Linked DNA regions of Oryzias latipes. The protein of the gene in region 1 purifies or fractionates together with the protein of each later gene. This does not show direct contact. Links are inferred from orthologs where the notes say so. Each region holds a gene or a part of one and is shown in the gene's direction. Other genes may lie near its edges. The genes, in order: polr3h, polr2l, polr3g, polr3k, protein POLR1D, polr3f and crcp.

The links.
Region 2: the proteins of polr3h (region 1) and polr2l purify together in Homo sapiens (affinity purification with mass spectrometry; 4 studies listed by BioGRID and IntAct, with this or other methods). This does not show direct contact. The link is inferred for Oryzias latipes from reciprocal best matches to the Homo sapiens genes POLR3H and POLR2L.
Region 3: the proteins of polr3h (region 1) and polr3g purify together in Homo sapiens (affinity purification with mass spectrometry; 5 studies listed by BioGRID and IntAct, with this or other methods). This does not show direct contact. The link is inferred for Oryzias latipes from reciprocal best matches to the Homo sapiens genes POLR3H and POLR3G.
Region 4: the proteins of polr3h (region 1) and polr3k purify together in Homo sapiens (affinity purification with mass spectrometry; 3 studies listed by BioGRID and IntAct, with this or other methods). This does not show direct contact. The link is inferred for Oryzias latipes from reciprocal best matches to the Homo sapiens genes POLR3H and POLR3K.
Region 5: the proteins of polr3h (region 1) and protein POLR1D purify together in Homo sapiens (affinity purification with mass spectrometry; 6 studies listed by BioGRID and IntAct, with this or other methods). This does not show direct contact. The link is inferred for Oryzias latipes from reciprocal best matches to the Homo sapiens genes POLR3H and POLR1D.
Region 6: the proteins of polr3h (region 1) and polr3f purify together in Homo sapiens (affinity purification with mass spectrometry; 4 studies listed by BioGRID and IntAct, with this or other methods). This does not show direct contact. The link is inferred for Oryzias latipes from reciprocal best matches to the Homo sapiens genes POLR3H and POLR3F.
Region 7: the proteins of polr3h (region 1) and crcp purify together in Homo sapiens (affinity purification with mass spectrometry; 4 studies listed by BioGRID and IntAct, with this or other methods). This does not show direct contact. The link is inferred for Oryzias latipes from reciprocal best matches to the Homo sapiens genes POLR3H and CRCP.

The regions. Positions count from the first base shown.
Region 1 is NC_019866.2:19,484,386-19,488,055, forward strand, and holds the end of polr3h (DNA-directed RNA polymerase III subunit RPC8), read left to right. Parts: intron 1-740; coding exon 741-837; intron 838-1,020; coding exon 1,021-1,107; intron 1,108-1,206; coding exon 1,207-1,270; intron 1,271-1,403; coding exon 1,404-1,638; intron 1,639-2,452; coding exon 2,453-2,503; 3' UTR 2,504-3,170; downstream 3,171-3,670.
Region 2 is NC_019861.2:18,860,753-18,863,948, reverse strand, and holds polr2l (DNA-directed RNA polymerases I, II, and III subunit RPABC5), read left to right. Parts: upstream 1-1,469; 5' UTR 1,470-1,601; intron 1,602-2,042; exon of another isoform or gene 2,043-2,060; 5' UTR 2,061-2,069; coding exon 2,070-2,164; intron 2,165-2,445; coding exon 2,446-2,557; 3' UTR 2,558-2,696; downstream 2,697-3,196. UniProt on the Homo sapiens protein: DNA-dependent RNA polymerase catalyzes the transcription of DNA into RNA using the four ribonucleoside triphosphates as substrates.
Region 3 is NC_019867.2:16,255,786-16,260,082, reverse strand, and holds the start of polr3g (DNA-directed RNA polymerase III subunit RPC7), read left to right. Parts: upstream 1-1,497; 5' UTR 1,498-1,747; intron 1,748-1,877; 5' UTR 1,878-1,898; coding exon 1,899-2,009; intron 2,010-2,314; coding exon 2,315-2,444; intron 2,445-2,988; coding exon 2,989-3,054; intron 3,055-3,131; coding exon 3,132-3,191; intron 3,192-3,269; coding exon 3,270-3,334; intron 3,335-3,972; coding exon 3,973-4,083; intron 4,084-4,163; coding exon 4,164-4,253; 3' UTR 4,254-4,297. Other genes in the region: mblac2 (metallo-beta-lactamase domain-containing protein 2), read right to left, coding at 771-1,212. UniProt on the Homo sapiens protein: DNA-dependent RNA polymerase catalyzes the transcription of DNA into RNA using the four ribonucleoside triphosphates as substrates.
Region 4 is NC_019866.2:8,138,713-8,141,709, forward strand, and holds polr3k (DNA-directed RNA polymerase III subunit RPC10), read left to right. Parts: upstream 1-1,321; 5' UTR 1,322-1,427; coding exon 1,428-1,538; intron 1,539-1,633; coding exon 1,634-1,721; intron 1,722-2,257; coding exon 2,258-2,385; 3' UTR 2,386-2,497; downstream 2,498-2,997. Other genes in the region: snrnp25 (U11/U12 small nuclear ribonucleoprotein 25 kDa protein), read right to left, coding at 31-121, 741-953. UniProt on the Homo sapiens protein: Core component of RNA polymerase III (Pol III) which synthesizes small non-coding RNAs using the four ribonucleoside triphosphates as substrates. Can mediate Pol I proofreading of the nascent RNA transcript.
Region 5 is NC_019878.2:17,475,455-17,479,444, reverse strand, and holds the start of protein POLR1D, read left to right. Parts: upstream 1-1,190; 5' UTR 1,191-1,248; exon of another isoform or gene 1,249-1,309; 5' UTR 1,310-1,329; coding exon 1,330-1,355; intron 1,356-1,804; coding exon 1,805-1,879; intron 1,880-3,264; coding exon 3,265-3,604; 3' UTR 3,605-3,990.
Region 6 is NC_019859.2:414,638-418,617, reverse strand, and holds the start of polr3f (DNA-directed RNA polymerase III subunit RPC6), read left to right. Parts: upstream 1-1,180; 5' UTR 1,181-1,277; coding exon 1,278-1,339; intron 1,340-2,211; coding exon 2,212-2,329; intron 2,330-2,404; coding exon 2,405-2,472; intron 2,473-2,536; coding exon 2,537-2,604; intron 2,605-2,671; coding exon 2,672-2,784; intron 2,785-2,860; coding exon 2,861-3,004; intron 3,005-3,538; coding exon 3,539-3,646; intron 3,647-3,715; coding exon 3,716-3,907; intron 3,908-3,980. UniProt on the Homo sapiens protein: DNA-dependent RNA polymerase catalyzes the transcription of DNA into RNA using the four ribonucleoside triphosphates as substrates.
Region 7 is NC_019872.2:8,449,030-8,453,216, reverse strand, and holds the start of crcp (DNA-directed RNA polymerase III subunit RPC9), read left to right. Parts: upstream 1-1,387; 5' UTR 1,388-1,463; coding exon 1,464-1,471; intron 1,472-2,584; coding exon 2,585-2,621; intron 2,622-2,719; coding exon 2,720-2,818; intron 2,819-2,891; coding exon 2,892-2,986; intron 2,987-3,116; coding exon 3,117-3,174; intron 3,175-4,187. Other genes in the region: protein FAM111A, read left to right, coding at 1-527. UniProt on the Homo sapiens protein: DNA-dependent RNA polymerase catalyzes the transcription of DNA into RNA using the four ribonucleoside triphosphates as substrates.

The DNA.
Region 1 (3,670 bases):
TTGACTCAGTTAAATCTTTCAAGTTTTCTATCAAATTTAAAGTAAAGGGTTTTTACAGGGGAAAGGGGAGGAGTCTAAACCTACTTGGTCTTGACGAAATAGCATCTTTCCAAAGATGAAACAAACCGCATATGGAAACTATAGGAACTTTTTCACACCTGCCCATGTAGGATTGACATTATGATTTTAATAATACACCTTTAGTTGAAAACTTCATGTTGGGTTAACTTGTGTTTTCTGTCTCATATTTTACTAGTTTGTTGATCTAACACATTTTATTTAGTCAAATGGCCCAAAACGAAATCAGAATAAGCAAACACCTAATCATGATACTATGTAACTGCTCTATTATGGCAGATTGATATCCAATTTATTTGTAGCCTACACAAGAAATTGCAAGTTATTGTCATCGTGATATCAGCCTGTGCAATATGTGCACTGAAGACAGTGTAAATTATGATGAGTGGTTATCTTAAATGTAAATAGATCCCTTAATGCATTTGACCAATTGGATGGACCCCTTTAATCTTAGATTCCCGCCTCCTTTGTAGACAAGGGTCATTTGCTGTATAATTGAAGTTATTTTGATTTTTATTGAAATAAATCTGATGCAGTGAAATGGAAATTATGTAGTAGTTTTCTGTTTTGCTTTATGTTCATTCGTCAAAAGTCATATTGTCATTGCAATATTGATGACAAATATCACACATTTATTCTATAATGCTTCTTTTTTGTCTTAGGTGGTTTTCAACGTGGGTCTCTGCATTTGTCTGTATGACATTACTAAACTGGAGGACTCCTATATTTTCCCAGGCGATGGCGCTTCACACACCAAAGGTATGACAGCAACAGTATTACTGTGACAGTCTCTGAATACCTTCAGTTAATCATATTGACGTCAGTCAAACCAGCTCACAGTCCTTCAATCTTTCAGTATTTTCTTTTAACACATAGATTTAAAAAAACACACATTAAAGATCTAAATCCTATTTCTGCTGACATTCTCACCTTTGTTGTCAGTTCATTTCAGGTTTGTTGTTTTTCACCCGTTCCTTGAGGAGATCCTTGTTGGGAAAATCAAGTACTGCAGTCAGGAGGGAGTTCATGGTAAGTATCATGTTTTCTTTAACACAGCTGACACAGATGTGTTCACACACATGTGGAAATATTGTTTGCTTGTCTAACTATGGTCTCTCTGCTTTACAGTGACGATGGGCTTCTTTGATGACATCCTCATTCCACCAGAGTCTCTGCAGCAGCCTGCAAAGTTGTATCCAACCTTACAATTACTGACTCTGCTTTATTAGACTGTGTTTGCTGCGTAAATATGATGCATTTGAGGAATCCTATTGATACTAAGTGTTATACAGTTTAAGGTGAACTTTCCTAATCTGAAACTCCAGTGATGAGGCTGAGCAGGTTTGGCTCTGGGAGTATGAGACCGATGAAGGGGCTCATGACCTCTACATGGACCAAGGGGAGGAGATCCGGTTTCGGGTAACAGACGAGGTCTTTGTGGACACGTCTCCAACAGGTCCAGCTGCTGCTACGCCTGATAATGCAGCACAGCCGGGACAGTCCACAGCAGCACCTGCAGAGGAGAGCACAGAGAAGAAAGAAGCGCCGTACACACTGATAGTAAGAGTTCATAATGCCATAAAAAAGCGTTTTTGCAAATACACCTATCGTCAAAACTTTTTAGCTCCTTTGCCATTACATATGTTTGTACCTTAGTGACACTCCATTCATAATCTAGAGGAATTATTATGATGCCATCAGATCCTCTGCAACAGTAGGAGCTTCAGCTCTTTTTTTGGAAGACTTTCCACAGTTTTAGGAAGGTTTATTGAAGTTTTTGACTGTTCAGCTGTAGCATTTGTGAAGTTTGAGACTGATGTTTGCCTGGCTGTCAGTCTTCACTCTGTTGCATCTCAAAGTATTCTGAAATATGCAAAATATAAAAAGTGCACATCTTAATCCAACACCAGGAGCTGTTCTTTGTTTTTTTTCCCTAAACAGGCTCAGGGTATTTCTGTACTTTTAAGAGGGATAGATAGTTTTATAATAAATGGAAAGTGGGATCTTTTTATTTTTTTAAACAGTCATGTGAGTCCTAAAAGGTGACAGTCTGCTATTTGGGTAGTTGGGGTTCTCTTCTTGGACGAGACCCTTAACCCCACAATGGTCTCAATTATAAGAAGCCTATAATCTTTAATAGAAAAAAAGCTAAATATTTAAATGTAAATGTTTGATTGTGTAAATGCAATAAAGCAGTTACATACATTTACAGTCTTAAAATGCTTTCTGGGATCAAAACCTTAATAATGCATATCAAAAACTAAGTGCAAAATCATGTAAAAAACAAAATTTGTCATAAGAATTTCATTTTTGTTCTTATTAGTGATAAATTTGTATTACATCTTTATTTTATATTTCTGTGTTTCTATTTCAGGGCACCATCTGTGAGCCAGGGCTGGGACTGCTGTCATGGTGGAACAATTAGCACTACAGAGGATGGTTTGTCCCTCATCACCCGAGACCTGCTGCTCAGTCAGCAGGAACAAAAAACCAGCATGAAGAACTCTATAGTTTTGTTACAGGAGTACAGATGAATTGAGATCGTCAGTGTGAAAGCAGCCGATACCAGTTTCATGTTTACATGTACAACTCACTGTGATGTGTTGAATGGCAATTTATGTTTGATACATTTCCTGTGAGAGTTTCTTAAAACTATGAGGAAATAGTTCATTATTTTTTGTTAAAGAGGATTTTATTCAAATGCCTCATCATTTAAGGTAAATAAGCAATGGTCTTCTGTGCTTTCTGAAAGTCCGTGTACATATTCTGAATTGAAAAACAAACTACTTGACTTTCTCTTGTGAGTTTATCAGTCGTATTTTTCTCTGCTATGGCGGGAGAACAGGTATTTCTGTAAGCAATTCTGCAAGATGTGTCACTTAAAAAGATGAGAAGGGTCTAATGTTCATCATATTTGAGAGGCAGAATGTTAAAAATATTCCAGGAAATCAGATCATTTGATTTTTAAAGAATTTATTTAGTTATTAGTGAAAAAATACAAATTTAGCTCCTACAATCAAGCAAGAATTCTGTTCTTCATAGACCTGTTATAAAGTCCCACTCCAATAAATGTTTGGATCTATTTTAATCTATTATAAAAGTGTGGCATTTTTTCATCTGCTCCTGATTCACCACAATTTGAATATAGAAATACTCAGTAAGGCACTTTTAATCTTAATTTTCTTTATGTCTATAATGAGAAAAATGTCACAAGAACATTTTCAAAACACCAAAAACACAATTTTGAATGGAGTGGATCTGTAAGTTCTAGCTTCCACTCGTTTCTTGCAATATTGGTTACTGTTTTAACTGGTTGTCAGTGTAAAAGACACCTGTCCACCCTTAAACAGTCAGACTCCAATGTCTCCACCAAGACCACAGAGCTGTCAAAGGACACCAGGGAGAAGATTGTTCACCAGAGACAAGACTAAGACGAACCAAATTACAATAAGGAAGGAGCTTGGAGAGAAGAGTTCAAGAGTTATACTGTATTTATCCCACAATGGGAAATTTGTTCTCCGCATTTGACCCATCCCCTGGGGGAGCAGTGAGCTGCAGCCGAACCGCACCCGGGAGGCAGTAGCCTGGATGA
Region 2 (3,196 bases), on another chromosome or scaffold:
TTTTCATAATTTTAACAGCGTATAAATGCAATAATTCAGGTAGGACTATTCATTTAGCACATGTGCTGTAGCAAGTTAAATTGCATAGATGATGTAATAATGTTTGGTGTTGACGATGGCGATGTTGGTGACAATACATGATGCCAATGATGATGATAGTTATCATTGTGTCTGTTAGAATGATACGAAGGATATTTTATTATTCTATATTTTAACTGATTTTCATAATGCAGCCCGGCTTTTGTCCCCAAATGTCTAAATGTAAAAAAGGAAGAGTTTAAACTTCAGCCTCAATAAAAGAAGTGAACCAGTCTGAATTATTTTTTTAAATGCACAAGAATTATCAAAGCAATTATATTAGTAGAAATGTGAGTTTCAGTTAAATTTATGATCTTGTAAGTTCTACCCTGTGACAGACTGGCGACCTGTCCACAAGTGGTCGAGATAGGCTCCGGCAGCCCCGTGACCCCGAAAGGGAAAAACGGTTAAGAAAATGAATGAATGAATGAATCTTGTAAGTTCAAGAGAGTTTTAACATGGACTGCCAACAAATATAAAAAAGGAATTGGGTACCGGTACTTTTGAATACTGGTATGTTGAGAAATCTAGATGAGACTAAGGCTTAGATCAGATTTACATTTGATTTATGTTCACAACTTTTTTTTTCTGCAAATGAAAATAAGGAAAGACAGTTAAAGATTAGTTAATAAACAGCAACAGTTTCACAGAAAGTATTGGCTAATAAGCTATCCAAATGAAAATATTTAAACTTGAAAATGAAAGCTGTAGATCTACAGTCAAGATTAGAAAAAGAGGATTTTTTTGGGATTTGCATTTTATGCCAATTCCCAAATAAGGATTTTTTATTTTATTTTACTCACATGACTGTGGCAACATTAGAATGTTTTCTAAATTATTGCAGAGAAATCCTCAAATAACAAAAAGTAATATTTGCATATAGACAAATGTTGGTGAATACATATACCATATAAATGTAGTTGTTTCCTTATCATAGAACATGAATGTGTAGGTGATTTAAATTAAAGCATTTAATCATTGGACACATATGTCGTCTGGGATTAACTGGTATTATTACAGACCCACCCAGAGAGATGTGATTTTATTTTGGTTTGAGGAACAGATTTCTCAATATTTGAGGGCCGATGCAGGTTGTATTTAGACAATGTGCTACCTTCTTTAAAAAAAAAAAAATATATATATATATATATATATATATATATATATATATATATATATATATATATATATATATATATATATATAGTAAAAATGCAAATCGTACGCGTCAGTTTTTGTAACAAATACTTTTACGCGATAAAATAATTTTTTTGTTAAATCCTAAAGTTGTGTTTTACATACAGAAAATGAACACACAGCAGTTAAACTCAACAGCATTGTTTACCTAAATTTAGTGGTTTATTTAAATTAGTTTTATTTTGTAGGATCACATCCGGAAGCTCTGTATTACACCGGAAATGGTTATTTGAGCTGTGATGTTTATATCGTCAACGGTTAAACTTTGTCTCTACTATTATTACAAATAACGCTGTTTAAGTGTTGGACAAACTTGACCAATAAAGGTGAGTTAACAACTTCCTTTTTTAACGTAATGTTACTAATATTTTTATTTCATTTGTACCCGAGTTTGGGAAGCATGTGAACGACGGCGTGCTGCTAGGCTAGCTGCATGTACGCGGCTAGCGTTGGCCTTTCTTTTTGTTTTTTAAATCTCAGTAATTTAAACACAAGTTACTTAATTATATTATATCGTTTACAGAAATTGTAGCGCAAGATATTTGCGTTCATTTTAGTTACGACGTTCCTAAACAACGTGTTGGTACCTTCCTTTAGAAGTATTTGCTAGCATCATAAGCGGAATTATGTTGTAGGAACATGTGTAACATAATTACCCTTTCTCAGATATGACCATATTCATATTGGCATGTTTTTGTTTATTTAATTTTTTTTTATTATTGATTTGATTGTTGATTATATTATTTATTGTGGATTGAATATCTTAGTTTGGCTCCTTCTTCAAGCATCCAGAAATGATTATCCCGGTGAGGTGTTTCACTTGTGGGAAGATCGTGGGGAACAAATGGGAAGCCTACCTTGGTCTTCTTCAGGCCGAATACACTGAAGGGTGAGACAGATGCGCTTCATTTTCATTTTACCTTCATGTTTCGTTCGTTCAACAATGTGTCACCGTAATGCTATATGGTCAAGTTTTCTGAAACTAAATAAAGGCCTTCATTCAACCTCTACTCCTCCTGTTTCACTGTCAGTCAAGATGTTAGTTTGAATTCAGACCATTTGAGGATACAACATTTAAAACTAACTATAGAAATGTTTTTTTTTTTTTTTTCTGTAATTATGCAAGCAATATCTGGCACTAAAATTACTTTTCCATCTTCCCTTTTCTAGTGATGCTCTTGATGCCCTGGGCCTGAAGAGGTACTGCTGTCGGAGGATGCTGCTTTCCCATGTGGATCTTATTGAGAAATTGTTAAATTATGCACCGCTGGAAAAATTTTAGCTGGAAGAACATGCTTTGAACATGGCCTGTGCATATATTCAGTGTTTAAGAAATGTCAACAATAATGACTTGGTGTATTGTGCACATATGTGGCAATGAAAATTTTATTTAAATAAAGTTTTTTCTTTAAAGTATTCGATTCACTGAGTTGAGATGCCATCTAATTTTTGAGGCGTTGAGTTAAATCGCTCAACCTTTCACTTTATGTACTTATGAAAACATGCAAACAAATAATGTTATACTATTCAACAGCAGAGCACATAAGACGAGAATACTTTGGGATTTTTTTTAATTGTAGATTTTCTACCAAAAGAAATGTGAAATTACAATGATTACAGAAAGAATTGTTATGGTGCATGCAAACAAAGTCTTATTTTACAAGAAAAAATCTACAGCCAATTTTTGTTAAAACAAGTCCTATTATATAAAGGAAGAACAAAACCGTGTTCTCAGATTGAACAAACAATCCTTGATTCTTTTATATACAACTCGACGCAACAATGCTCCTCTGCCTCCAATCTGGGGAAGCAAGAACAAAACATCGTCATGGCGGTTGGAACTTTAACTCTTGAAGAGTTATAGTGAATGTGCAGAAGGTTTTCAGCAAATTACAATGCCACTTTGTTACCAACAATTAAA
Region 3 (4,297 bases), on another chromosome or scaffold:
TTTTTCTTTAATGATTTGTGATCTTCACTGGTTTCCATGGATTACATGAAATCCTCTCCATCTTTATCCACGGTAGGGAGAACACGTCAATGGCCATCTTGACCCCATAGGATAGCACAAGGGTTAGACAGGGCTGTTCATTCCTGATCCTCGAGATCTACCACCCTGACGGTTTTCCAGATCTCCAAGTCCTGCTAGCGGATGATTAGCTCAATCAGATGTCTCCACATTCTGATTGAATGAACACACCTGCTCCAGGTAGTCAGCAGCAAGCAGTGCAGGGAGAGATGGAAAACAGGCAGGGCGATAAATCTCGAGTACCAGGAATGAGGAGCCCTGGTTTAGAAAATGCTTATGTCCAGAATATACTTATTCACAGACAGGATGGTGGGTGATAAATATCCCAGTGCTTTGCTGTGTGTGTGAGAAAAACCTACACACTCATTCCTGAAAGTAACAGAATCTGCCAAAGTCATCAGCATGGTGACTTAAAAATAGATCAGCTTTGCAGGAAGAGAGCCAAGACAATGGTGAGGACCACACAGTATCCCAACCTCACCCATGTGCAAATATTTGAAAGTCTGGTTTCTTGTGTCTGGCTTGTCACTGGGCCATCTGTTAATTTCGTTTTGCAGAAATTTGGTTTGAGAATGAGAAGGATTTTGAAACTCTAATACACTGAATGAAGTTTTTAAGTTGTAGGTTTGACCCCAGATTTAGCCCCCACTAGCACCAAGCACCACATGTGTGCTGACAGATGCCCTGCCTACCCTCTTGCAGTATGTGCGTGGGCTGAACAGCCTTGACTTTGTAGTTCCTTGCTCTCCACCCTGGACTGGGGCGCTCGGCTATCTCCCTGTCGCTCAACCAGGTGACCGTCTCGAAGTTGTCTCCGTTGGCCAGCGCATCGACCTCTGCGCTGTGGACGCCCACCTGTTGGAACTGATGCAGACCCCCCGAGTGGTCGAAGTGGGCGTGAGTGGCGATGGCCAGCAGCGGGTTCTTCCTCTGCGGGTCTTTTCCCAGCAGCCCCTTGGAGTCGATGTAGTCAGGTAAGCTCCTCAGCCCCAGGCCGGTGTCTATCACCACGTCCTGATGCGAACCGCGGAGCAACCAGATGTTGGCCCGGTTGTCCGATTGATAAAACCGCTCCTGGATCCAGAATAGTCCGTCTCCGAGCGACTTGTGGGCGTACCAGTCGGCTGCAGACATCCCAGGACATGCAAATGTCGAGGTAAGCTTCGGAAGGGAGACGCGCCGTCGGCTGAATTAGCACAACAGTGTTAGTAGCCTCGTAGCTAGGAGCAGTGTGGTTTCATTGAAGCTGTAATGATGGTGGCCGCACACACCCTTGTTTGAAAGCAGCCAGCCCATTGGTCGAAGTGAGAAATGACGGTAGATGTGAACGCGGCAGCGATTGGACGAAAATAAGAAACGCCCTATTGGGACGTAAGCAGGGGCGGAGAGGGGAAAGCATCTGCTCACGCTGACTAGTCTATTGGTTACACATGCGTTTCCCAGCCGGTTCCACAAAAAAACCATAGAAAGAAGCGATAGGTTTATTTACTTATCTTTTTCGCCTAAATGTAAGCTAAACCGCTAAGCCACAAACTCGGACCGTTTAGCTTTAACAAATAAATCAAATTCAATAAGATTTCATTGGGAAACACGTGTCATTTATAGTTATAAAACTTTATTTTTTTATCTCACGTCTCCATAAAAGGAGAGTTTTACCAGCAGGCCTCCTGTAAGTATTTATGAAAAAATATATATCAGGGAAAAATTGTCATTTCTCATAGCGGACTCAATGGTGCAATACCGGCAAGCACGTGCTTGTCAATGACGGTGCTTGCCTGAGGATGAACCGTGTGTTGCAGGTCGTGGTCAGGGGCGCAGCCATGGCAGGCAAAGGCCGCGGGGTGGCTGCGTTTACCTTCAACATTGATGCTCTGGGCATTGGCAGAGGCAACATGCCAGAAGCCAGGGTGGGGCCCAGTCCACTGTTTCCAGTAAGTAAATGCCACACAAACACGGAAAGATGGAAGGTTTAATTAGCAAAAATTCAAGTTTTATTTAAGTAAAATAAATTGGCATGTGTCATCAACGTAGGGCTTTTAGTGTACTCTCCCTGTGTAGTCTCAGTACTTTGTAAAATGTGCTCAGAAAGCAAACTATGATGTAATCTATTTTGTGTCAAACACTTGGTTTATGGACACTTTCTGAGAATGACTGCCTGCTTGGATTACACCAATTTTCAGATAAACAAGAAACGTGTCACTGTAATAAATATCTTGCATCATTTGCCCTTATTTAGACTACTGAATTTAAACCGGTTCCACTCAAAGGAGGTGAAGAGGAAGACTACATGCTGGCGTTAAAACAGGAATTAAGAGGAGCAATGCAGAGGCTACCACACAACATTAAAGCTTGCTCCAGCAAAACGGGTAGGGGGGAGAGTGCTGACATATGAGAGATTTCTACGTCAAGATAATTCTGGGCTGCTGGAAGTGGAGATAACTGCTGCTTTTGGGAAATCAGACATTTTATGAGTGTTATACATAAGAGAAATGAGATTCTATAGTTACTGCTTATGCCTCATTATGAAGTTTTCAATTGTTGTTGTTTTTTTAGGGGTCCATCATTACAGATATTTTAAACATCTTTAATTTTCTTTGGTCTATGACATAAACCCAAGAAAAAACTTAAAGGAGTACATTTAATTTAAGTCACCTGTTAAAAAAAAGACAATTTCTAATCCAGGTTCCAGACTTTTGATCATTAGAAAATACTTTTTAAGATTCATTTATGAACAAATAATTTGGTACAATGCATAAATGTCTAAACAATAAATTTATTTTTGCTGTAGCAATGAATTGATTCCAGAGATTAACTTTCATTTGTTTTTTATCTTTTATGTTTAGTAAAAAAATTCTCACTGATCTGATACTTTTTTCAAATGTACTCTGTTGTTCTGTTTACATGAAACAGAGGTGGAGAAATACACTGAAAGATACTTGAAACAAGCCCAGATTAACAGTGAGGAATGGACTCCAGGTAATTGCTTTAGATGGAAATTTTTTTTTCAAAAGGTGTCATGTAAAGTAATGCAAACATCGTGTCACACATTTCAGACTGGAACCTTTTTCCCAAAGAACTGATGCCCCAAAGTAAAAAACGTAGAATTAAGAAAGGTAAATTAAAGTCACATTGCATGCAGGAAATGTTGAATGCGTGTTTTTTATTTATTTAAAAAGTGTTTTTTGCTTCAGGCACCAAGACTAAAACTGTGAAGAAGTTGAAGGAAGATAAAGCCAATGTGCTCAGTAAACTGGATGTAAGCCTATCTTCCTTCTTTAGCTTTTTTAGACTATTTAAATGTTTTTTTTTCTTAATTGAACTTTGTACAAGGATGTCTTTAGGCGCTGTCATTCGGTGCTGAAGTTAGTAGGCACATGCCTTTAAAATAAAAAAATCTAGTTTGGAAACTGCCATAAGGACAGAATAGTTTAAAGCCATGTGAAAAAAGATTATGGTTGTACGAAGTTTTAGCAAGATTTTGCAGAAGTCTACATCTGTGTAAAATATAAGGCACAATTTTACCTGTTTTTTTAATACCAACATTAGACTGAAAAACGCTTATTGTACTGGTGCTTCTGATTTTGAATTGGTAAAAAAAGTAAAAATCGCATGTCCCTTTCTGAAACTGATCAAATTACATCAAGTTTAAAAACAGTTTGACTCTTGAATGATCTTGACAGACCCATCTTTAGTGTCTGATGGGCTTAAATCTATTTAAAAAGGAAACTGTTCAGACTTGAACATTTCTTCCTTAACTGATCGGCTTTAAACACATTGGCCCAAACCATACTGCCAAGCAGAACAAAGAGAACTGCTGTGAAAATGTAGACTTTTTTTTAAATGGGAAGAAAGCCTACCATTTAGTTTGAATCCCACCCCAAAAAATCTGCTCAGGAATTGGCCAAGAAAGATGAAAATCCTGAGAAGTCAGATGAGGAAACTGAGAAGAAAGCAGAGGACGATGAAGAAATCGAAGAGGAAGAACTCGAAGAAGACATAGAAGAGGTTTGGTCCCAGGAATAGTGGAAAATCTGCATTGGTCTTATTTGATGCAACTAATGTTTTATCTGCTTGTTGCTCCTCAGGAAAATGACTACATTGAAAGCTATTTTGACAACGGTGAAGATTTTGCTGCTGAAAGTGACGATAACATGGATGGGGAAGCAACCTACTGAAGCCCATTTTGCATGGCTTTGACAGTTGCATATGAAATGTCTGT
Region 4 (2,997 bases), about 11 Mb from region 1:
ACAAATCAGCTGGGAGACTTTGGAACTTACGCATGATTTCCCCATCTGCCTTAACAACCTTCACAGTCATTGCTTGCCCATACTCCAATGCAATCTGGGAGTTTACTTCTTCCAAAGTCACCTGAACACAAAAATATTGCAGATTGTGGATTCTCATCCTTCTAACACAGTAGAGGGTAAAAAAAAAAAAAATCAGTCAAATGGACTTGGTTAATCCTTTATAACTGCAGACATTTCATGTTTTCTCAAAGACAAATTTGCAAATACGAAAGATAAACCAGTTGTAAATAACAGATTTCTTTCTGGGCTTAATAATAAATGAGATTAAAAAAAAACAAATGTGATTATTGTATAATAGTCCAATGTTACAAGAGCAATACTGACAATACTAATGTTATGGATTATAACCTGTGTTTTTGTTATTTTTATTATGCATGTTTGGTACTTAATTCTAGATTAGAACATTTATTTCATTGCTATTCGTATATAATTCTTAAATCGTATAAACAGTTTCAAGAAGAAAAAGGAGAGAAAACATAAATTAGAGCTATAAGATTGTTTTGAAATTGGATTCGATTTGGCTTTTCAAGAATATATATGCAGCTATTTTCTGCTATGCAAATATGCCGTCAGACAAACCGGAAGAAGGACGCGTTTCAACTTTAGTGTTAAATTTACAATTTATGAAAATTTTCTTTAAACATCTGCCTGGTGTGCGGAGTGTGGTGTTTTTCTATGACCTGGATCGGCAGATCACACAGTAAAGGGTCCTGCACAAGTCGAGCAAGTCCCTCTTCGAAGATATCAAGGATCTCTGAATGTGGAAGAGACTCCTCATCTTCCTCCTCGGCATCTGGAGCTGTCTCATCAGCCAGCTTCTCCTCTTTCACCTCACTGTGACTGTGACTGTCCTGCAAACGATTCTCTCCTTCGTCGGTTTCCTGCTCCATCATCTATTATTGGTTAAAAATAAATACATTCAGTAAAAATGAAACCGCTTTCTCTTTTTTGACGCGTTCAATTAAGTACAAAAGATTCTTAAAATAATAATAATAGGATACTGTTTACAAAAATGTATCCCAAGACTGGTGTGAATTTTAATGCTGTGTGTCGCAGACCTTATACCGGTGGTATCATCAAAACATGATAAATAGTTCCGCTTATCAAAAGTAAGAACTTTTTTTCATGCGGCGGATGGTGGGGTTTTAAAATAATTATATTATTTATAATGTTATACATATATTTATACATTTATATACATTCTTTAACAATAACAATTTCATTTTTAACAAACGTTTTTTTTTTTTTTGTTTCCTACCGAGCTGTAAAACCGGAGCAACTGCTTCCGCTTTGCTTCTCCTTGCTAATGAATTTCGTAGTCGCTACTATCTTTCCCGAGATAGTTTTTCTTTAAATAATCTGGTAATATGCTTCTTTTTTGTCCTACTTGTGGAAACGTTTTAATCGTAGAAGAAGGACAGAAATGCTTGAGATTCGCTTGTAACACTTGTCCCTATGTGCACAACGTCACGAGAAAGGTACGCTCCTTTTATCACTGTCTGACTCTGACTCGAGAAACAAACACGACATTTCTTAGGGTGGTTTTTAATCTCAAACTTTTCAATATTTGTAGGTAAACTACCGAAAATATCCCAAGCTGAAAGAGGTGGATGATGTGCTGGGTGGAGCTGCAGCGTGGGAGAACGTGGATTCTACTGCAGGTAACAAACAAGTTTGTTACCAAGAATTAAAAAAAAACATGGATAGACTAGAGAATAATATAAAACAAAGGCCAAGAAAAACTAATTTGACTACTAAGACAAATATGTTCTCCATAGGAATAAATTAAAGTTTATTTGAAACAGTCCATTTGCGTGTTTAAAGGGTGTTAATAGTCACCCTTAGCTGCAAGTACACTTGAAGTTTATTTTATTAAGTGTACTTGGATGCAAGTATTGCACATATACTGCTGACCATGTAACGTGTAGGGAGTACATTAACTTAACACTTATTCTGACTAAATTGTGACATTTTATGTTTACTATATATAGACTGAACTTCAAGTACACTGCCTCACTCTAAGTATACTTGTAGTACACTTAAATGGACTACTTTTTGCTAGAGGCAGTGTTGCTGTGTGATGCTATGGCGAGTACCAACCTGAATGTGGGCCACAGAAAGAAGTTCAATCCGAGAACTAACTAAAATTCTGAACATGTGTGTACATATATGCATGTTTGCTTGTGTTTTTTCACAGAAACGTGTCCCAAATGCGAGCATCCTCGAGCCTACTTCATGCAGATCCAGACCAGATCAGCCGATGAACCAATGACGACTTTCTACAAATGCTGTAATGCTCAGTGTGGAAACAGATGGAGAGATTGAGCATTTTATTTCATTCACTCATTATTTCTAGTTTAAATGGCAATCAAAGCACATGTAAAGAATGTTTTGGACCCATTATTATTTATAAATAAAATTTGCTTTTCAGAATCAATCAACGGACAAATTCTTTATTTCAGAGCTTTTATTGATAAAATAATACCTGTGTACATCAGTCAATTCAATTGTCTTAGATGTTTGTATCTTGTTGCAGACATTGAGAGCAATGCATACCACTGGTTCCCACACGTTTATTTTCTATGCAATCCTTGAGCTCAAAATGCAATTTCTAGAGCAACTCAATCATCCTTAAGGTAAGGAAGAGAAAAAAAAATACAAATCTAGGAGCCAGCCAAAGAGAATCACTTATTTGGATGTGTAGCTCATGCAGACAAATTCTGCACCTCCAAAGCGTTGGTGAAAAATGAAATCGGACATGCTGTGACGGAACAGTGCTTTTACACTGTTAGTGGTTTATCCAATAAAAACTGTATTTTTGATATTTTTTTAGCTTAATCTGAAAAGACTGCTCAGTCAAGGCTATCGCTTCATCTAACATGCATTTATTTATGTCATAGATGACAAATGTCAAGATTAGGTGATCAATGCAATGAT
Region 5 (3,990 bases), on another chromosome or scaffold:
TAAGTGAAGGCTTGCAGATGCGTGTGACACGTTCTTAATCCTTCTTGTCTGAGTTCAAAGCTGTACTTGCTCATCTTTTTATATTAGGATACCGGTCCTGCACTTGCTCTCATTTTCCCACAGATTACTATCTAATCTTGGGAGAACTAGGCAGCGGCATGCAGGAGTTTCCTTTTTAGAAGATCAAAAGACTCTATGGCACTCATTTAAAAACTCAGGTGTATCAGGCACCCAGGTATCAGATATTTTACAAAAACCTCATTTGGATGTCTTTCATCCTACAAATACTAAACACACAAAGACAGCACGAGAACTGATGTGAACATTATTATATATTTATTTTTTGCATGCATTAGTAATAATACAAAAACTGAGCCTGCTGTAAATTACATTTTCAATTATTATTGTCAATTTTCTGCATTTACCTTAATAACGCCCCATCTGCAAAGCAATTACTAAAATATATATATATATATATTTTTGATACCATCAATGTTTAGATAAGCCCTCCCCCCATCTCTCAAACCCCCCGTTCACTGTCTGAGTCCAACCCCCCCTAGGAGCGAAAAGGGAGGACAGAAGAGGCGACAATGGTAATAACAGAAAAAGCCAGCATCACACACACTGACGCCGCTTACAGTGAAAGGATGCAGATGTGATGTTACCTCTTCAGGCTGCTCCTCTGCGCCGCGCCCGGGCCTCGAAGAGGGGCGGGGGTGGCGGGACAATTAGCAGCTGCGGGACCTCAGTCACGCAGTCGCCGCAACGGACGGCCCGTTCCGCAAACCTGCACGAAAACGCCCCCGTCACTTTGGTGCCTGGTCCCGCCCACTGCTGTCCGTCAAAGAGACTGGGCGGAGTTTGCCGCTGTCAATCCACAAAAAAAAGAAAAAAAAAGTAGAGGTGGCTTCAATGTCGCCTGCCCAAAAACGTCCATTCAGCGGGAATTAAAATCTTTTAATATGTTTATGATTCCGATATGTTAGAGGTAATAACATAAACGGATAAAGCTTCGGGATCATACAGGGCATGGAATATTTTTTGTTTTTCAATGTGACAATTACAACTATTATTTTAGTAACTAAATTACTTTAGAATAAATGTTTGGGTTCTAAAAACGGCGTGAATTTTACAAAAATGCATTATTTATTTAAAAAAAAATGTTATGGTTTAACAATATAAAACAATGAAATGATCAGGCATCTTTTGGTCATAAAATCAGGTCCTCGAAAGAAGGACCTCGCAGAGGTAAATAAATCCCCTAACATGAGCCTGTAGAAATTTCCTGAAATAATTCTGCGTTTTAAAGTCTTTAGGTGGTCAGGCATAATGGCTGAAGATAATGAATTGGAAAAGTAAGTATTTTTTATTTTTAGATTATCATCGATTAACTTGTTTACGTTTGCTCGGTTAAACTAATACATCGGGGGAATGGTGTCTGGTACCACCAGATTAGGCTAGCATGTTTGCATAATGCATTTCTGTAGCTATGGGGTTATTTTGGTTAGGGGACGGAGTGTATCTTGTGTAGCAGTCAACACACTCTGCCTTTTGGCAATCAACAGCTGTTCTCACTACGTGCTATAAGATCGGCTGAATCAGAGAGAGCCCCCTGCGAGACTAATGCCTCAGCTGGTCGGGTTAAACGGGGACACCGCTGATGTCCCAATTACTTATGATTCACTTCCTCCGCGTCTCCTATTTTCTTCCTCGCTCGCACATAATTATATTAGTCTCCCCTTGAGCTTTTATGTCATCTTGGTCTTCTGTTGTTATCCGCATTTTTCTACGTCTTTTCCTCCAGACGGGCTATAGAGGAACTCCTCAAGGAGACAGACAGAGCCAGGGTGAGAGCTGAGACCATGGGCCCTGCAGGATGGTGAGTTATGGTTCTGAAATGTCATCCCTGACAGCCTCCACATAAAACGCCATGTAAAATCTTACTTCATAGGTTTAGCTGTTTTTTTTGGAGGCTTCTATTATTGTTGTATTTGTGTTTAACTAGTTTTCTATTATAGATAATTCGTCAGGTTCCCAAAGACACTTGTCTCTCTTGGCATCTAAAAGCACACACATATAGACTAAATTTATTATTAATATTTATTTATTGATTGTGTGTCTGTAGTGATTCTATGTCTAAAAAAAACGGTATAACCCTGTGAACTTTCCTGGAATTGAAAATATGCTTTCAGACATTTTTATTTTCTGGGCTGACGCTGATTTATCAAAACTATTTTTTTCTTCTTGATTTATTTCAGATGTGAGAGGTCAAAGCTAATGTTCTGAAGCTGTCATTCACTCGTCATTTAATGCAGTTACAAAAGTCACTTGAAAGGAGGGGACAAAAGGCAAATAAAATTTTTTTTTAAAAGACTGTCCATAATTATAATGTTACCTAACTTAAACTTTTCACATTTTTTTGTCTATCCCAAACATTTACATGACAACGTTCTCTGAAGTCTGCAAGGCTTGTCTTTTGTGTAACAATTACAGTTTGAGTTTTTTCACACTGTGTCGCATTTACAATCATAGATTTATCTTGGTAACCAATATTTGTTGACTGATCTGTATTAATTAGATCGACAAATGTTTGCAAGTATATTGTTGCACAATGATTTCTTTTGCATGAAATTATTTATTGACCTATTCACTTTTTGTGTATTTGATCTGTTTGATGGTTAATGGGTTTCTCTTTGGATCTCCCTTCATTGAGTCTCTTGAAATGATAAGATTTATTTGTGTATGTTTAACAGATCTTAAACAAATTTAGAAGGACTTTATTCTTTTTTGTGGGTTTCTAATGAAGAGGTTTATGTTATTTTGTTTTTTAGGTCTGGTCCAAAAAAACTACAGAATATTAAAAAAAAGTTGGTTTATGTAATTTCCAGAAAACTTGCACCTCTTATCACACTATTTAGTAGTAAATTAAAGAATGACCCAGTATTTTTAAGTGTTAGAAAACATGGAAAAACAGCACAATACCATAATGTTTTATTTTCATGTGGGAACCTAACAAAAAGTGAAATTATACAAAAAGCAGTAAGGTGAGCATCTAACTCCCAACTTAAAGCAAAGTCATGCCCTTAATAGTTGTCCTATAATTTAAATTGTACTCTGGAGACAATTTGTCCTTTAATGGAAACGACTATACATCTGTCAGATATACTGATCAGATAACTGTCGCTTTTCACATTAGACTTTAGATTAAAAAAAAAACCTTAATTCTGAATTTTTAAGTGGTTGTGTTGTCTTCTTCTCTGTCAGGTTGAAATGTCCCCTGCAGAGCACCAACAAACGCTTTCTCCTCAACACTCTGCGCTCTACCGGCCTGCAGCGGCGAAACGATGAGCAGAGAACCGCAGACTCCAAAACAAGAGACCGCCTGACCCACAAGTCCCGTGACAGACGGTGTGACCGCAGCAGAACACCTCCGACAGACCACAGGAGTAATGGACGCCACAAAGACCATAAACATCACACCCGTTCAAACCGAGATAAGGAACTGGACAAAGATAAGAACAAATCTGACAGACACGGGGACAACAGCAGAGACAGGAAGCATGCCGATGGACCAAACGGAGACAGAAAAAGAAGTTCTTCATGAATGAACTTGCTGTGTTTTAAAGGTAGCCTTGATGCTCTACTGAAAAATTAATTGGCTGGAGGAGTATGGCTGACTTGAAATAGTTCTGTAGAGCCCTCTCACCCTCACAGAGACCCAGACAGACTAGAAGGACCTCTGCTGATCACAACGAATTGTACAGTGACAGAATATACAATTTGTATTACAGCTTTTGAATGAATGAATGAAGAGAGTAAAAGGAAATAAATATTTTGTGTTTTCAGGCATGAATAATTGATCCTCTTACAGTTCTAACATGAATCTTTATGCACCAGAACGAAACATCAAATATACTTTTTAGGATATAATCTAAAAATCATATCAAAGCTAATATTTGTTTTATCATGTTCCACTTTGTAAAGGTGGCT
Region 6 (3,980 bases), on another chromosome or scaffold:
TGCTTCTAAAATGTGATTTTGATTACAGAAAACTTCCTATTAAACTTTCTACTCATCATCAGCAGCTGTTACTGTATGGAAACTCCTCTACAAACATAACTGTAGTTCACACAATACTCCATATGGAACTGTTGGGATATTTTATGTAGGAACAAATCAATATTTTACAAACATTGGATTGATGACAGTATTTGGTCATTAATACATATTATGAATGACAATGGAAACATTATCTCATTTGAAACTTTTTCCAGTAAATTTAAATTAAATGATAGAAAATAATATAATAATGTGATCAAAGCCTCAGACTTTGGTCCAAATGTCCTCCAGTCTGGTTCATGATGATCAAGTTCAGCTTCCCTCTCTGTTGTTTGATGGTCGACCGGTTAATTCAAAACTTCCAAACTCATTTATACGATCTTTATTTGTTAGAGCCGTCCTGTTTCCAACATTAGACATAAATCATTCTATGTCACAGCTTTACACAAGAGAGGAAATAAGCAAGTTGAGGTCTCAGTTCATTAAATATCCAATTTTCCCAAAATACAAAGAAATCCATTTTAAAATAATGAATGCAGTCTATCCATGCAAAGAACTGTTACACATACGTTTAGGTTTTCCAGAGAATAACTGTTCTTTTTGTGATATAAATATTGAAACACTTGATCATTTGTTTTTTGAATGTATGTATGTTTACAGTTTTTGGGAGGATTTCTTTTTTTGGTGCTCTTCAAAGTTTCCCTTTCCTATTTCTATTCACTTACAAAAGCACATTATATTATTTGGAGTAGTTTCTGGTGATAATCTATTTGATTTGACATTCAATACCTTATTAATATCTGGGAAATTTTTCATTCACAAGTGCAGATTTGTAAAAACGAAACCATTATTTAATACATTTCTTAAAGAAATCAGTTTATATTTTAAATCTCTGACATTGATGAAAAACAAAAATGCAATAAAACTGTGTGTTTTCATTGAAGATCACATGCTGTATGACAATCCCTAGTGTTGTAAACTATAATTCTATATATTTTGTTTTATTTATTTACTTATTTTCTTTTTCTCTCTTTTTTGTATGTTGTTATTATGTGTATGTTTAAAGTTCAAATAAACAAAATTAAAAAAAAACAAAAAAAAACGTGAACGGACATCACGTGCTCTGATGACGTCACACAGGACCGAGCCTCTCCCGCCGCTGGGGGGCGGTAACGCTCCGGTCTCCGTGGTTCCCCCAGAAGAAGAAGCGGCGTCACCGGCAGCAGCGGACCGGGGAGATGGCGGAGGTTCGGGTAAAGAAAGAGACGAACCTGGCGGAACCTGCAGAGGTGGAGACCAGGTTCGGACCTCACGATTCTGCCGCGTGCCGGTCCATGACCGAAGCGCGTGCATTTCATCTACGAGCAGCTCCTTGGCTTGTTTCATGCGCGCGTGTCTTAAGTTCAGAAACGGTTCTGGTTCCGGAGGCTACTCTAAACCGAACCTCAGCAGGCTTCTAAGACCGAAACCACTTTGTCTGGTTCCAGAGGTTCGAATCGGGAGACCGACTCAGCTCACGCTCAGGTGGTTTTAGAACCGAGTCCAGTTCTGAAGGTTTTAGATCTGAGTAAACCTCCGAAGACTTCAGAACCGAGTGCAGGTCTGAAGACATTAGACTCGAGTCACTCGGGTCTAATGTCTTCATAACTGGACTCGGACTCGAGTCCCGTGAGTTCAGGTCTAAAGACTAAAGGAACCGAGTCCATCCAGGTCTGAAGACTTCAGAACTGAGTCCCGGTATGAAGGTTTTAGATCCGAGTCCAGGTCTGAAGACTTTAGAACCGAGTTCAGTTCTGCAGACTTTAGAACCGAGTCCCGGTATGAAGGTTTTAGATCCGAGTCCTGGTTTGAAGGTCCAGGTCCGAGGACTATCGCTGCAGCTGTTGGATGTTCTGGATGTTGTTCAGAGAACACGCGGATGGGTCAGACGGATTCTAGAGTTCAGGCGGTCTTTGGACCATTTCTGAAGATCCAACGTGACGTTCTGAACGGACCAGAAACACTAGAACCTCCGTCTTGGAGAGGTCCATCTGAAGATGTTCCTTTTTGTTCCAACTGGAGATGAGACCCAAGCTGACACAGGGTTTATTATGGGATGTCTGATCTTTGGAGCGACTGGACCTTGTGGTTCTGATCCAGGAACTTCAGCTCTGAACGCCTGTGTGTCTCCAGGATCAGAGAGCTGTGTCAGCAGTTCCCTCAGGGAATCACAGACCAGGTGATCCAGAACGACATGCCTCACCTGGAGCCGCAGCAGAGGGCCCTGGCCATCAACAAGCTGCTGTCCCTGGTTAGTCCGGTTCTGAACAACCCAATCCATTCTTCAGCGCAGAGGGGTTCTAACGTAACCTGGTGTTTGTTCCAGGGCCAGCTGGACTTGCTCAGGAACAGTTCTGGTCTTCTGTACAGATTAAAAGATTCTCAGACAGCCAGGTGAGCAGCGTTCCATCTGCAGGTTCTGGTTCTGTCCACCGTGAACCCCAATCCTCTGTTTCAGTAAGATGAAGGGCTCGGACAACCAGGAGAAGCTGGTTTACCAGATCATCGAGGATGCCGGAAACAAAGGTGAGCTCTGTCTGCCTCCTTCCAGAAGGTACCGCGGGTCAGAACCTCCCAGATGTTCTGTTCGCAGGAATCTGGAGCAGAGACATCCGCTTCAAGAGCAACCTCCCTCTGACCGAGATCAACAAGATCCTGAAGAACCTGGAGAGCAAGAAGCTCATCAAAGCCGTCAAATCTGTGGCCGTGAGTTCAGAACCGAGCCGGTCCAGACGTGCTTGTGGCCGCCGGCAGTCCTGAACTCTGCTCGTCTGCCACGCAGGCGTCCAAGAAGAAGGTCTACATGCTGTACAACGTGCAGCCGGACCGCTCCGTCACCGGAGGGGCCTGGTACAGCGACCAGGACTTTGAGTCCGAGTTCGTGGAGGTTCTGAACCAGCAGTGCTTCAAGTTCCTGCAGAGCAAGGTATGGAGAACCCAAATGTACGGAACACCAAACCAATGGGTCACAAAGGTCAGAGGTCAGCTGTAGAGCTACGTTTACACCGGGAAACGCGTTCAAGGGACCGCTTTGAGTCCAAAGTCTACGGGAACGCGTCTACGCTTCCGCCTCCAAACTCTACAAAAAGCGCCGCCATTGAACGTGAAACCAGTTGAACTTTGACCAATCAGGGACTCTGAGTTGGTTGCGACGTATGATGGCGTCAAAGCAGAAGTACCAACGACTGAAACTTGATCAGAAAGGACAAAGTAATAACTGCGGTTTGTGTCGACGCCAAGTCTATGATGGATCAGAATCGAGCTGTGAACAAAAGACTCACCAGATTTGGACGTTTCCCACCGAGTCGTCCAACCGCAGGAGACGGCGCCGGGTAGCCACAGTCCAGAATGAACGCCGTAGGCGAGCAAAGGTTCTGTGGTCTTCAACGCGCATCACGTGTGTGAACGTAGCACCAGGCTGAGGGGCCCACCCCTCACCCCCACTCACCCCTGTGTGCAGGCGGAGGCGGCGCGGGGCGGCCAGCAGAGCCCCATGGTTCAGAGGAACAGCTCCTTCGCCACGTCTCACGAAGTCTGGAAGTACATCAGCGAGTTGGGCATCAGCAAGGTGGCCCCGCCGTGACCTCACAGCCCCTCCCAACAGCTGCAGCTGTTCTCACAGGTGTCCCGTGTGCAGGTGGACCTGTCCATGGACGACATCGAGACCATCCTGAACACGCTGATCTACGACGGGAAGGTGGAGATGACCGTGATCGCCGCCAAGGAGGGGACGGTGGGCAGCGTGGACGGACAGATGAAGCTGTACCGCGGCGTGAACGCCGTGCTGCCGCCGGCGGGCCTGGTGAAGACGCCCTGCGGCCTGTGCCCGGTAAGCCGCGCTCCGACGCCCCCTGCTGCCGCTCCGGCTGCGGCACTCACCCCCCCCCCCCCCCCAATCTCTC
Region 7 (4,187 bases), on another chromosome or scaffold:
GTGGAATCAGCATTATCGGGCATCCTCAGGGAGGTGTGAAAAAGATCGACCCCTGTTTGATTGTTCCACACAGCCAGGTTGTTGATAGGGTTCCCCTGATAACCAAGTATTTCTTTGCTGATAAACTTTTGAAATACGAATCTAGTTTTTTCGAAGGCTCCTCTGGCTCTCCTGTTTTTGACAACCACTGCAATGTGGTTGCAATGCATTCAGGAGGATTCACCTACGACAAAGAAGGGATGGAAAGACGGGCTGTTGTTGAATATGCCCAACCTCTGCATTTCATTTTGGAAGATTTTATTATCCAAATGGTGGAGGGAAAAAAGTTTGACGTTTTGAGAGAATATCTTGATTGCAGCTACACTCGAGGCACCGCCGTCAAAGACGGTGTCAAAAAAATAGTTGAGAGCAGAAATAACCAACGGTTCAAAGAAGCTGCAAGGAGCTGTGTGGATGACAAAGTTGTACAAACATTCCTTGAGTTTTTCTGCCAAACTGAGGAACCTGTCCCAATGGAGGTTGTTTAGGTCTCATCATCTCATTTTATAGTTATCCTGGGCTTGACTGCAGTAAAACAAAGAAATTCCAGCAGTGAAAAGCAAAAATTAAACGAAAGCTTTAAACTCAGCTTTAATAAAAGTTAAAGCTTTAATTTCTGCACTTATTGTTTACTTTATTGTTGCTCCAAGCAATTCACATGCACCTGTTTAATATAATTATGTGATTTTTCTGTCCCAGAAACATTTTTAACCATCACTCTCCAGTTCAGAGAAAAAATAATGCTGGAAAAAATCTGTTCACTCTTGTATATTTTACTTGTATGGATGTCCAATTCTTACATTTCAGTCTTGACTCATTCCTGTATCAAGTTCTTGAAAAGAAATGCCAACAAAAGGTTTCCTTTTTTTGGTTGTTTTATTATGTTTTGGGATTTATTTGTTTTTTCAAATATAGATTACTCATTACTCAGTGCAGTAGCATAAAATTCATTGTACTTTTTCTGTTTTTGTTTTTAAAAAGCAAAAAGTGTTCAATACTGTGTGCTTCAAATCATGACTAATGAAACTGTATTAAAATCTGATAAAAGTGACTTCTAGTGTATTCCTTTTTTGTTCCCTTACCCTAACAGTAAATGTTAAATGTTTAATATGTTTAAAATAACCCTCGATGTGTTCAGGGTGTACTTCACCTTCTCCCTGATGCTGCTGCATGAGGCTCTGGAAGTCCTTGTTAATTTCATTGAACTGTTTGGTGAAGGGGCTTTCGAATTTACACTTTTTGAGATACTCTTACATTGTTTTTCATTTTCAAACATCTCGGCAGTGTTTCACTTTTTTAAATATTTATTCTGTTTTCTCTGATCCCACGTTCTATGTAAAAATGCGTTTTTTGCTAGGCGGAACCAATATACTCCCCTATTTTCTACACGAACCCCTTTATTGTAACGGAACCTAAGAGTCGACATGGAAGTGTAAGATTTTTTTTTTAAGAACAAAACAACGGCTAATAAGTCTTTTATGTATATTTACATGTACAATTTTAATTGTGATCGATGGTAGTTTCGTGCGTGTTTCAGTTTCGGGTTTATTATGTGATGTTTTGCTTGTTCCGTTGGGATGATGCTGTCGGCCAAAAAATGGAGAGATGATGATCGACACACAAAACAACTGAATTAAAACATATTGAGTCCGGGAGACTTTGATCCATTTTGAAGAGTTTGCAGTCTACAAATGTTTTAAATTGTATTATGTTTGGGGACGAAGTTAGAGACGGGACAAAAGGTCGCGAAATCGTTTATAAACGTAAATTTCAGAAGATGGGAGAAACAAAAAGCACGGGTCGGATTAGTTTGAGTTTGTGTTATCAAATATTTGTTTCAAATCATGAAACATTCCATTTACAAACACATTCTGCGTTGGCTCTTCAATAATAAATGAATTAGTTATGACATGATGAAGCAGCTAAAAAACATTTTGTCATCTAATATAAGCCAACTCAGCCGCACTCCACAACATTTGTCAACTTGTCACTTGAGCTCTGATCTAATTCATATTTGCCTGAAATCACAAACTTAATTTTTCTAAATAACATTGAAGCAAAGAAATATGGGAAACAGGTTTGAATTTAAACAGTATTCTGTCTTGTTTTTCATTAGATTTATTTATATTTATCAAAAGTTTGCTTTTTTTAATTGTATTTCTTTTCTTCTTCAAACTTGAAAAACAAAAACATTTGCTAATATCTATTTCAGTAAGTTTCAACGGCTTTAAAATAATCTAATTGATGGGTTTCTAGTTTTTAAAAAGGGAAAACACAAAAAAAAATTATTGCTGTTCATTAAAGAGAAGATCTGAGGTTCCGATTAAGAAAATTTCGTTATATAAATAAAAATCAAGTAGAGAAATCCAGCCGTTCTTTTAGTAACACAAGGATGTGAAGATCAAATCACAGAAGAAAAATGTTTACTAAATATATAAACTACATGGGAAATATTCCAATCTTATAAAGCTTGTTTTGGTAACAGATATTTTAATTATCTCATAATTTAATGTTTAACAATTGTTATTTGGGTTTTTTTACACAGAAAAAATGCAAACGCGGCCATGCTCAGTAACTATGAGGTGAGACTATAAGACTGTCTATTAAGGGTTTTTGTTGATTTTCCTGCCTGGTAATGAAATTAATTATTCAGAAAAGCTAAATAATGTCTTCGTCTCAGGTATTCAAACTTCTCACCGACCTGAAAGAACAGAGGAAAGATGCTGGAAAAAGCAAACATAGCCTCGGGCAACAGGACCTCAACACCATCATGTATGAAGTGGGTACTATTCATACTGTCTGAGCTTTAGTTGTCAAATCCAGTCCATGTTCTCACCTGCATTTGCTTTCAGACTCTAAAGTATTTGTCAAAGACGCCATGCAGCAGACAGAGTCCTGAAATTGTCAGAGAGTTCCTCACCACCATGATGCCTCAGAAGCTGACCAAGTCAGTATCTAAAAGATAATATTTTTCACCCCTCTGGGGCTTCAATTGTAATTTCCGCTTAATAAATGATGTATAGTTTGGGGATAAAAATGTCTCAAAGTTAAAATTTTGCCATCTTTCTCTCTTTAAGGGCAGAAAAACTGCAGCTGTTAAACCAACGGCCTCAGAGTGCAGTGGAAATTCAGCTTGTAAGTATTTTTCATGTCTTTCTAAATGTTTTATCTTTTTTTCCTAAATAATTTACTCATGTATTCCTATGGTAGCTCTGTATAACAAATGAGATCTTTCTCATATTTGTATTTTTGTTAACTCAACCCAAAAAGGCTCAAATCTAACCCAAAACATGCACTTTTTCACATGCATCCATCAGCAACTTCATTTGTTACATGTAGATTGCCCTACAGGTTCTACCACTCTGGTTTTTTCATGCTATTCCTGTCTGCAGGGTTAGTTTGAATGGGCAATTCACAGTAAATCCAGGCTTGAGCCCATTCCTGTAACGCATTAATAATCTATTGAAGCAGCTATTACAAGACAATGTTAACAATACCTTATACAGCAAACCAAAAAGACCCTCATGACCCGTTTAAGCAAAGCCTTATTATTGCTTTAGCTAAGCGTTGAGGTTATGGCTGTGATGGGTTTAGAAATATTTAATCCTTAAAATGGGTACATTGCACTATTTGACTAAAAATCAAGTAGAGAAATCCAGCCGTTCTTTTAGCAAACTGAGTAACACCAGGATGTGGAGTGCAGACTTCTGATGCTGCTTCACTGGGGTGTGGTGTGTCCCGAAAAAATCTTTTTTAGCAACCAATAATTACTCACCTAAAGCCAAGTGTAGAAGGCTCCCTCTATTAAGAAATAATCTGGTTTCATAATGCAACAGCAATTATATATTGTCCTAAATCAGTTATTCTAGAGCAGATTATCTCTTAGAGTACATTTTAAAAAGTGAATTTCCAAAACTATATGGAGCCTCTTAAAGAACTGCACTCCCTGTTTACCATTTGTCTCTCTGCAATCTGTATCCTTTTAAAATAAAAATATTTTTTTCAATACAAAGCAGCTATAAAGCAGTTGTTGCAGTGAACACAAATGAGGCCATTTCCATTAGCATCCACTAACATGCAGTTCTAAAACTCAGCCTGCAGATGTCGCCCTTCTCACTTTTGAGATGCTTTTAACCCTTGTGCTATCT